Callithrix jacchus: one gene and its partner. The protein of the gene in region 1 purifies or fractionates together with the protein of each later gene. This does not show direct contact. Links are inferred from orthologs where the notes say so. Each region holds a gene or a part of one and is shown on either strand. Other genes may lie near its edges. The genes, in order: STK35 and C7H1orf174.

Region 1 (4,523 bases):
GGGCAAAAGCCCCAAAGAAGATTTTAGGAGACCACCCCCTCCAAACTCACCCCAAATCCTACCCATTCTTAAAAGTTCATCCTCAGGGTAGGGAGAACAGCATTACACCTTTGAAAGGACCCAGGCCTTGAATCAAGACAGATCTGGGTTCCCCATCACTTAAGCTCTGAGAAACTTAAGGAAACCAGGAGCATAGTCAAACTTCCCTTTCAAGCAGATTAACCCTGATCAAGTTATTTGTTCACTTCTAAGCCTAGTTTCTCTATTTATAGAAAGAGGACAGAATTTACTTTTGAAGTTATTACCTAAAAATTACTTCAGCGCTAAGACCACAGCTGGGCCTCGGATTAGTCAACTTTCTTCCCCTGGATCCTCCTGCCTCAGAAAGTCTCCTCAAACTTTCCAATGTCCCTCTCCTCCTCTCCGTGAAGACACCTAGCTAACAGCAGTAGTAGGAACAAGGCTTGTGGGTACCGAGTATTTAGGATGAACACGGTCCCTAACGGCAGTCAAAACCGGGAAATTAAGGTAATTAGTTCTTCCAGGACTTGAAGACCACTTGCCTCAATGAACCCCATTTTCCTTCTAAGTAAAACCACTTCCCAGCCAGCCTCTGAGGTTAAGAAAAAGATTAAGATTGTAAAACAAAGGGAAAAGATGTTGAATGCTTTGTTATGTGACAGCTCTCAGGCCACCTGTGAGGGCTGTCAGCCTGCATGCCTCGGAGGACCAAGCAAGAAAACCGCCAGTTTGCTTGGCTGCCTGGGATGAAGGACTGGGGGCCTCAGAGGAAAAGGCAGAGTAGGAGGCCACAAGAGTTTGGGTGTGGGAGCTGGAGGGTGTTAGGAAACTTGGAACCACACAGGGAGAGGGTGTGGATGGGTCCAGTGAAGTTTTTTCTTTTTGTTCGTTTTGGGAGGGAAAGAGAGAGGCCCTAGAGGGTGAGTGGGCTCCGCAGTTCTGCTACTAACTGAACCCAACACCTCCTCCACTCCCTGACCGATCTAAAAAGGTAGTAGGCATTTAATCACCATAGCTCACAATTACTGAGCACCTATTAAGTTAATGGTTTGCACTTAAGCTCTTGTTATTAAAATATCAGCCAACGTTAGGCCCAGAAACTGATCCTGGGACCTGAAAAGAGGGCCGAATTCCTGTGCCTAGAAAAGGAGGGTGTGTCCGGGCACAGGGTGACAGGAACCAGGTCTGAGGCCTAGGGGGGCCGGGAACAATGTGTGCCAAACCGTCCGGAGAGGCGCGGACCCAGGCCTTGCAAATGTGGAAAGGACGGCGGTGCTCCTACCTTTCAGTGAGGTCTCCACCAGGCGCAGGTAAAGCTGCGAGCTCTTATTGCCGTGACTCATGCGCTGCGCTAGCCCGTTGCGCTGCAGGACGCACTCCTCAAACTGCACGACGTTTTGGTGGCGCCGCTTGAGGCTGGTGAGGGCCCAGAATTCAGCCAGAGCTAGCTCCACGTTCTCGGGGGCGTCGCAGCGGATCTTCTTGACCGCCACTCGGGCCCCGCTGCGCCCGGCCACTGCCTCGTAAACCACGCCGTAGCTGCCGCGCCCGATCTCCGCCAACAGACTGTAGCGCGGCCGAGCGGACCCGCCACCGCCCTCTGGCCATCGCCGCGCCAGGTAGGCCTCGCCCGGGGCCTCGGTCGCCACCGGATCCATGGCCTGGGCCGCCGCCACTGGCCTCAGCTTCGTGCTGGGCGCCCGCGGCACTGGGCTTCGCCTTTTCCGCTCCGGGCTTTGTGTACCTCTGCGGGCGCCGTCCTTTCCCGTTTCCATGGCTGCGGGCGGCGGGGGGAGCAGCAACGGCGCTGCCCGGGCCCCCCCTGCCTCATCCCTTCGTCCGGCCCCGGGACGCGGAGGAGCGGGACCTTGGATTGTGACCTGCAGGCCAAAGAATCGGTTAAACGACCAGGCCGAGGCGGGGAGGCCAGGAGAGTAGGCCGCGGAGCGCCCCACCTCCTCCTCCCCCGGCCGCCGCGGCCCCTTTAAGACGGAAGCCACAGCCGCTGATTGAACGGGGGAGGGGAGGGGAAAGCGGGAAAGACGGAACCACTGGGCAGCGGCTCAGAGGGAGAACCGGAAAGAAAAGCACAAACTCTCCCCTTTCTCTGTTAGTTTGTCGTGTAGCGATAAGAAAAAGAACACACAGAAAGCTTAACGCCTTCTGAAAACCGCCTTAAGATGCGATTCGGCCGGCGGAAAACTTTTTCTTTGCCCGTACCCCTCCGTGACGCCCCTCCCCGCGCCCCACCTTGTGTTCGCCCGGGTGTAAACAGTCCATTGAATTAAGCCCTAGCGGAGCCCGGCGGACCGACCCAAGTCCCCTAGGGCGGCGGGTAGAAGAGATTGGCTAAAAAGTTCCGTGTCTCGGAGCGCGACCGGCCGAGGAATCCGATTGCCCTCCCCGAGCGCGGAGGCAGTGGCAGTAACTCCATCCTCGGTGCTGGCTCTTCAGTCCTCGAACAGTACCCTTACCTGGCCCGCGCACCTCCGCTTCCGGGCTGTCCGTTTCACTCCTGGAGCCCCTGTCTGGGGATGGTCCGCTCCGCGATGAGGCTGCCTCCGTGACCGAGCTGCGCGGGAGGTGGTGGCCCGAGCCCGGCGTGTGGCGGGTGCTTCTGCTGCCGCGGCGCTCGCTGGGGAGGCCTGGGCTCCCAGGCTCCCGTGGCTTTCCACGTGTTCCCGCCAGCTGAGCCCTTTACATAACCTCTTTACATAAGCTGCACCTCCCGCCGACGCCCGGGCCAGCGGAGACTCCTGGTGGCCCATCCCCTGGGAGGCCAGCCGAGTGAGTCCTGCGCCGCCTGGTCCTGCCAAGGTCGACGGAGCAGCCGCAGCAGAGCGCACCAGCACGCCTCGCCGGGGCCCAATCACCGGCGAGAACACCCAGCCAACAAAAAATAGGCGCCAAATTCCCGTGATCCGCGGCGGCCCGCGCACCGCGACCCCTTCTCCTCGCCTGACCTGCGTGAAGACCAACCGTACGCAGTAGGCGCTTAATAAATACTGATAGGGTGATTGTCTTGGTTTTTTGATTCATAACTCGGTCTGGGAACGTTAGGGAGTGGGTTGGAATCCTGACCTTCCCTTCTACCAGCCCAGTAATCTTGTGCAAATCATTGCCACAACCTGAGCATCGTTTATCTGATGATCCTCTGCTAAATGGATTAAATGGGCCTTAATTCTCAGGAACAATAGAACCAAATGAAATACATAGATAGAGGCTAATTGGGTGTGGGGCTGAGTTAATACTCAAAGCTCCATTTAAGCACAGATTTTTGAGTATTTTGTTCTGTACTTTGTATTACAGTGTAGGCCTAGTGGGTGCCCAGTGTTAACTGAATCTACCGTTATCTATTGAACACCTGTAATGTGCTAGGCACCGTTTTAAGTCTCTGGGGAAAGAGAAGTAGACAAGGCAGTTTCTGCCTTGGTTGAGGTTCTGTGTCACTGCAGGAGACAAACCACATGGGTGGCCTTGGGCAAGTTAATCAACTTTCTTGTGGGTTTTTACCTCACCTGTAAGAAGATTCACAGAGGTTATCCAGATAAAGCACTTAGGACAGCCTTACACACAGTCAATGTTAAGTATTAAAGGATAATTTTTGCCATTGATAAGTGTGATGGAGAAGAAGAATGAGCTAAAGAGTGCTCGTTGGGGACAGGCTATATCTGATAGTGTATTTAGTCGCTGAAAGCCTCTAATGTTTTTGTGATTAAATTTCAAATTTACACATAAATTTCAAGAATCATAAAGATCATATACTTTTTTACCAGAATAACAAATTGTTATATTTTGCTGCATTTCCGTATCTTACACACACACACACATATATTGTGTGTAGATATCCATATGGTTTATACCTGAAAAGAAAGGGAATCAGTATATGGTATATAGATATTCACACACACACACACACTCACACTTATATAATGTATATATATATATTTTAGGACATCATTTTAGAGTTTCCAACAAGCTTCTTTATTCCAAATATTTATATGTCTTTCCTTTAAAAAAGGCATTATCTTGCATAATCTCAGTACAGTGATCAAAAGTCAGGAATTTTAACAATGATACAATTGTGTTATTTAATACACTCCATCCATATTTAAATTTTGCTAATTGTCTCAATCATGTTCTTTATAGCTATTCCCCAGGATGCAATTCAGGATCACACGTTTCATTGACTTGTCATACCTCTTTAGTTTCCTTTAACCTGGAAGGGCAGTTATCCAGCCTTCGTCTTTCATGACCTTGACATTTTGGAAGAGTACTGGTGAGTTATATTATAGAATGTCCCTAAATTTTGATTTTAATGTTTTCTTATGATTACATGCAGAGTATGCACTTCCCCCCCCCCCCCCCCCCGCCCCACATTACCTACCCATCCCTTGCTATTCTGAGAGGGTGAGGGTTTGCATTTTCTGGCAGGAATGTTACTGAAAAGAGTTGCCTCCTCAGGGCCTTTCATCAGGAGGCACATGACATTGTATTTGTCC
Region 2 (4,317 bases), on another chromosome or scaffold:
GAGTGACCAGAAGTTGGATTTATACATATATAAAGGACCAAGGTAGCCATTATAAACAAAATCAAAATCAAGAAAAAAGAAGAAAGATAATGTTGCATCAAACAAATGATCAATAAAGAAAAATTACTTAAAAATCAAATAGAAATTCTGGAGTAGAAAAGTCTAAAAACTGAAATAAAAAAATTCACTGGGAGGGCCCAATAGTAAATATGAACTGGTAGAATAAGCAAACAAGCTGGATGGAGAGATTATGCCCGCTGAGGAACAGAGAGAAGAAAAGAATGAAGAACAATGAAGAGAGCCTCAGAGAAATGTTGGACAGCATTAAGCACACTAACACATGTGTAATAAGAACCACAAAGAATGCAGACAGGAAGGAGCAGAAAAAAGATTCCAAGAAATAATGGCTGAGAACTCCCCAAATTTACAGAAAAACATCAATCTACATATCCAGGAATCTGAATGAACCGAACAAGTAAAGAGATCCACAGATACGTCACCGTAAAATTACAAAGACCAAGGGCAAACTCTTGAAAGCCACGAAAGAATAAAATCTTGAAAGCCGCAAGAAGGAAGCCACTCAGAAGGCAACCTCAGTAAATGCAGGACTGACTTCTCAGCTGAAACAATGGAGAATATTCAAACATATTCAAAATGCTCAAAAACAAACAAACAAACTAACAGCCAGGTGTAGTGGCTCACACCTGAAATCCCAGCACTTTGGGAGGCCGGGCGGGCGGATCACGAGGTCAGGAGATCGAGACTATCCTTGCGAACACAGTGAAACCCTGTCTCTATTAAAAATACAAAAAATTAGCTGGGCTTGGTGGTATGCACCTGTAGTCTCAGCTACTCAGGAGGCTGAGGCTGGAGAATAGCTTGAACCTGGGAGGTGGAGGTTGCGGTGAGCTGAGATCACACCACTGTACTCCAGCCTGGGTAACAAGATTCCATTACAAACAAACAAACAAACAAACAAACAAACAAACAAACAAACAAACAAACAAACTGGGACCTGTATCTAGGAAAGCTATACTTCAAAAACGGGCTGGGAGTGATGGCTTATGCTTGTAATCCCAGAGCTCTGGGAGGCTGAGGCAGGTAGATGACCTGAGGTCAGGAGTTTGAGACCCAGCTTGGCCAACATGATGAAACCCCATCTCTAGTAAAAATACAAAAATCAGCTAGTGCGGTGGTGGGCACCTGTAATCCCAGCCATTCCAGAGGCTGAGGCAGGAGAATCACTTGAACCCAGGAGGCAGAGACTGCAGTGAGCCGAGATTGTGCCTCTGCACTCCAGCCAGGCAACAGAGCGAGACTCAACTCGAACAAAAAAAACTCTCTTTACAAGAAATACTAAAGGAAGTTAGACTGAAATCAAGTGACCCCAGACAGTAATTCAACCCCCCTCCACACACACACACCCCACCAGTAAAAGTAATTATGTTCTTAAAAAGATGGTGTAAATGCTTATTTTTCTATCTCCTTCTCTCAACTAATTTTGAAAGCAATTGTATGCAATAATACGTATGTAATTATACAGACATGTACTAAATTTGCCAATAACAAAACAAAGTGGGTGAAAGCAAAGCCCTATAGGTCTAAGGAAATGACCACAGATAATAATAATTATAACAGAGTATGCTGAGTTTGTAACATCAACAGACGAAATACACATAACAAAATACCCCAAACATAACCATATACGAGTAACATTTCTGTATCACTTGGAATTGACCTAGTACAAATATGAAGCTGATTAAGATATACATGGTAAAACACAGAGCAAGCATTGGAAAAAAACCCAAAAATATAGTTAAAAAAATTTATGAAAATGCTACGTTAGGAAATATTCACTTTAATCCACTTAAAGGAACAGGGGAAGAAAAAGACAGACTTGTGTAAAGAAAAGAAAAAGTACAATAGCCTATGTAAACCTAACTACAGAGACCACCAGACTGGATTTTTAAAAATATCCAAGTATACGCTGCCTATAGGAGACACATTCTGGTTCAAAGATAAAAATAGTAAAAGGAGTTGGAATTCACAAGTGCCCACTCCATTTGAACAAACCAGGAGAGCCGGGATGCAGCTCAGAGCCTCCCAAGAGGTTCCAGCCCAGGTCCGGGTCCGGGTCCACTGTGAAAAGGGTCCTTCACCTTAATCGTTACCCACGCAGTGAGCATTTGCCCCTTCCCAGACACTGGCACCCCCCTCTGGATGGATCCCTCATCACCCCATTTTTTTGCATATTAAGTAGCTGGGGCCAAGCTGAGGTCACATGCTGTGTGACCTCCACTGGAGTGGCAGCAGTTGAGGGGCACAAACTCTGCTCTAAGGCATCCAGCACTGCCAGGAGTTGAAAACAGTTCTGAAGGGGGCACCCTACCTTCCTGGGAAAGTGGTCTGAAGCCTCCCTTCAAGGGGGCGTGACCTGGGAGTCCCCTTCTCCCAGGGCGTGTCCCAGAGCCCCCCTTCTCCGGGTGCGGGGGTGACCTGGGAGCCCTCTTTTCCCGGGTGAGCTCCACTTGTCCCACGGGCATGGCCCGCATCCCCCGTTCTCCCGGAGGCGTGGCCTCAGCGCTTTACTTCTCCCCGGGCGCAGCCTGGGAGCCTCCCGACTCCCGGGGGCGTGACCTGGGAGCCTCCCGACTCCCGGGGACGAGGCCCAAGCGGAGGCCGCTCCTAGAACACAGGCACCCCGTGACACTGCCACGGCTCTCCAGACAGCGGGTGGCCCGGAGCCCCCCCACCACGCTGCCCAGTGCAGCTGCTGCCGGGCCCCAGCCCTCACCTTCCGGCTCCTCATGAGTAAGCACCGCCGCCAAGTCCCGCGCCCCCCAGCCCAACGCGTTCCGGCTGAACAGCAATGCGGAGTCCGCAGAGCGCGCCGCGGCGGTCACCGACGTCAGCACAGCCAATCACAGGGCAGCGCCTTTGTCATGTGACGCCACAGTTGTTGCTTACGTAAGCGGCGCGCGCAGCTCACAGGCTTTGGGCCAGTGATGGGACGCTGGAGCTCTAAGTCGGCCTGTGCCCGGCATTGTTCGTGTGGCGCGCGTCCGTTGGCAGCCCTGTAGCCGCCATGTTTCCCACACCCGTGGCAGGGCTGGGAGGTTATGTTTAAGGGAGCCGTTTCTTGTAGCGTCTATGCTATATTTGAAGGGGGCGGACGGCCATGTTCATGGGCTTCTTTTGGTGCACCTGTTGCCGCCATGTTTGAGAGGGGTGAGCAACCATGTTTTTGAGGGGCGTTTCCCTTGAAGCCTCTTTGGCCACCATATTTGAGGGGGGCAGACGGCCATGTTTGTAAGGGGCGCTTCTTTTTTTGCGTTTGTGGCCGCCATGTTTGAGAGGGGTGGGCAACTATGTTCGTGAGGGGCGCTTCCTTTTGAAGCGTCTTTGGCCGCCATGGTTGAGGGCGGGCGGCCATGTTTGTGAGGGACGCCTTGGTGCACCTGTGGCCGCCATGTTTGAGAGGGGCGGGAGAGGCGTCCACAAGGGGTCCCTCACCTTCCAGCCCCTGGCCACGACCCTGTAGGAGGGTGGGCAGTGGTTTCTCCAGTGCCGCAGAGCGCTGGTTTCTGAGCGCCGGTGAGCGGCGTTGAACAGCGCGAGGGATTCCCCAGGCCTGTGCTGCCCCGCAACATGCCGCTTTGGGCTGGAGTGGCCCGCCTGGGAAGTGGCTTCTGCTATCCCCCACGTCGCGGGCCTTAGTAGAGGCTGTCGGTGGGCCCAGAAGGCCAGGGTCCGGCGTGGGGCTGGGGGCCTGGACCTCACCCCCCTCACTTGCAAGGCAGGAACTGACCCCACCGCCGCCCCGTTTCTCCCGGGGCCGAGGTGGACCCTTAGCGGCCACGCCTCCTCCAGTGGGCATGCCTCTAGCAGGTCTTGACGGACACACAGCGGCCACGCCTCCTCCATCTGACTCGTCCGTATCAGGCCTGGGCTGCTGATGTGTCCTCCTCGGCTGCCCCTTGACATCCTGGCCTTTCCATCAGCTAAGGGAGGTGTTTATAAAGCTGAGGACCGCTGTTTTTCTTTTGTTTTATTTTGTATGTGTGTGTCTGTGTGTGTGTTTTTGAGATGTGGAGTCTCGCTGTCGCCCAGGCTGGAGTGCAGTGGCGACATCTTGGCTCACTACAACCTCCGCCTCTGGGTTCAAGCAGTTCTCTGCCTCAGCCTTCTGAGTAGCTGGGGTTACAGGCGTGCCTCACCACGCCTGGCTAATTTTTGTATTTTTAGTAGAGACAGGGTTTCACCATATTTCACCATGTTCAGGCTGGTCTTGAACTCCTGACCTCGTGATCCACCCGC

The links.
Region 2: the proteins of STK35 (region 1) and C7H1orf174 purify together in Homo sapiens (affinity purification with mass spectrometry; 3 studies listed by BioGRID and IntAct, counting the BioPlex papers as one, with this or other methods). This does not show direct contact. The link is inferred for Callithrix jacchus from reciprocal best matches to the Homo sapiens genes STK35 and C1orf174.

Annotation. Positions count from the first base shown.
Region 1 is NC_133506.1:9,683,191-9,687,713, reverse strand, and holds the start of STK35 (serine/threonine-protein kinase 35), read right to left. Parts: upstream 2,845-4,523; 5' UTR 2,790-2,844; coding exon 2,496-2,789; intron 1,902-2,495; coding exon 1,304-1,901; intron 1-1,303.
Region 2 is NC_133508.1:41,772,483-41,776,799, forward strand, and holds the start of C7H1orf174 (UPF0688 protein C1orf174 homolog), read right to left. Parts: upstream 2,874-4,317; 5' UTR 2,810-2,873; coding exon 2,795-2,809; intron 1-2,794.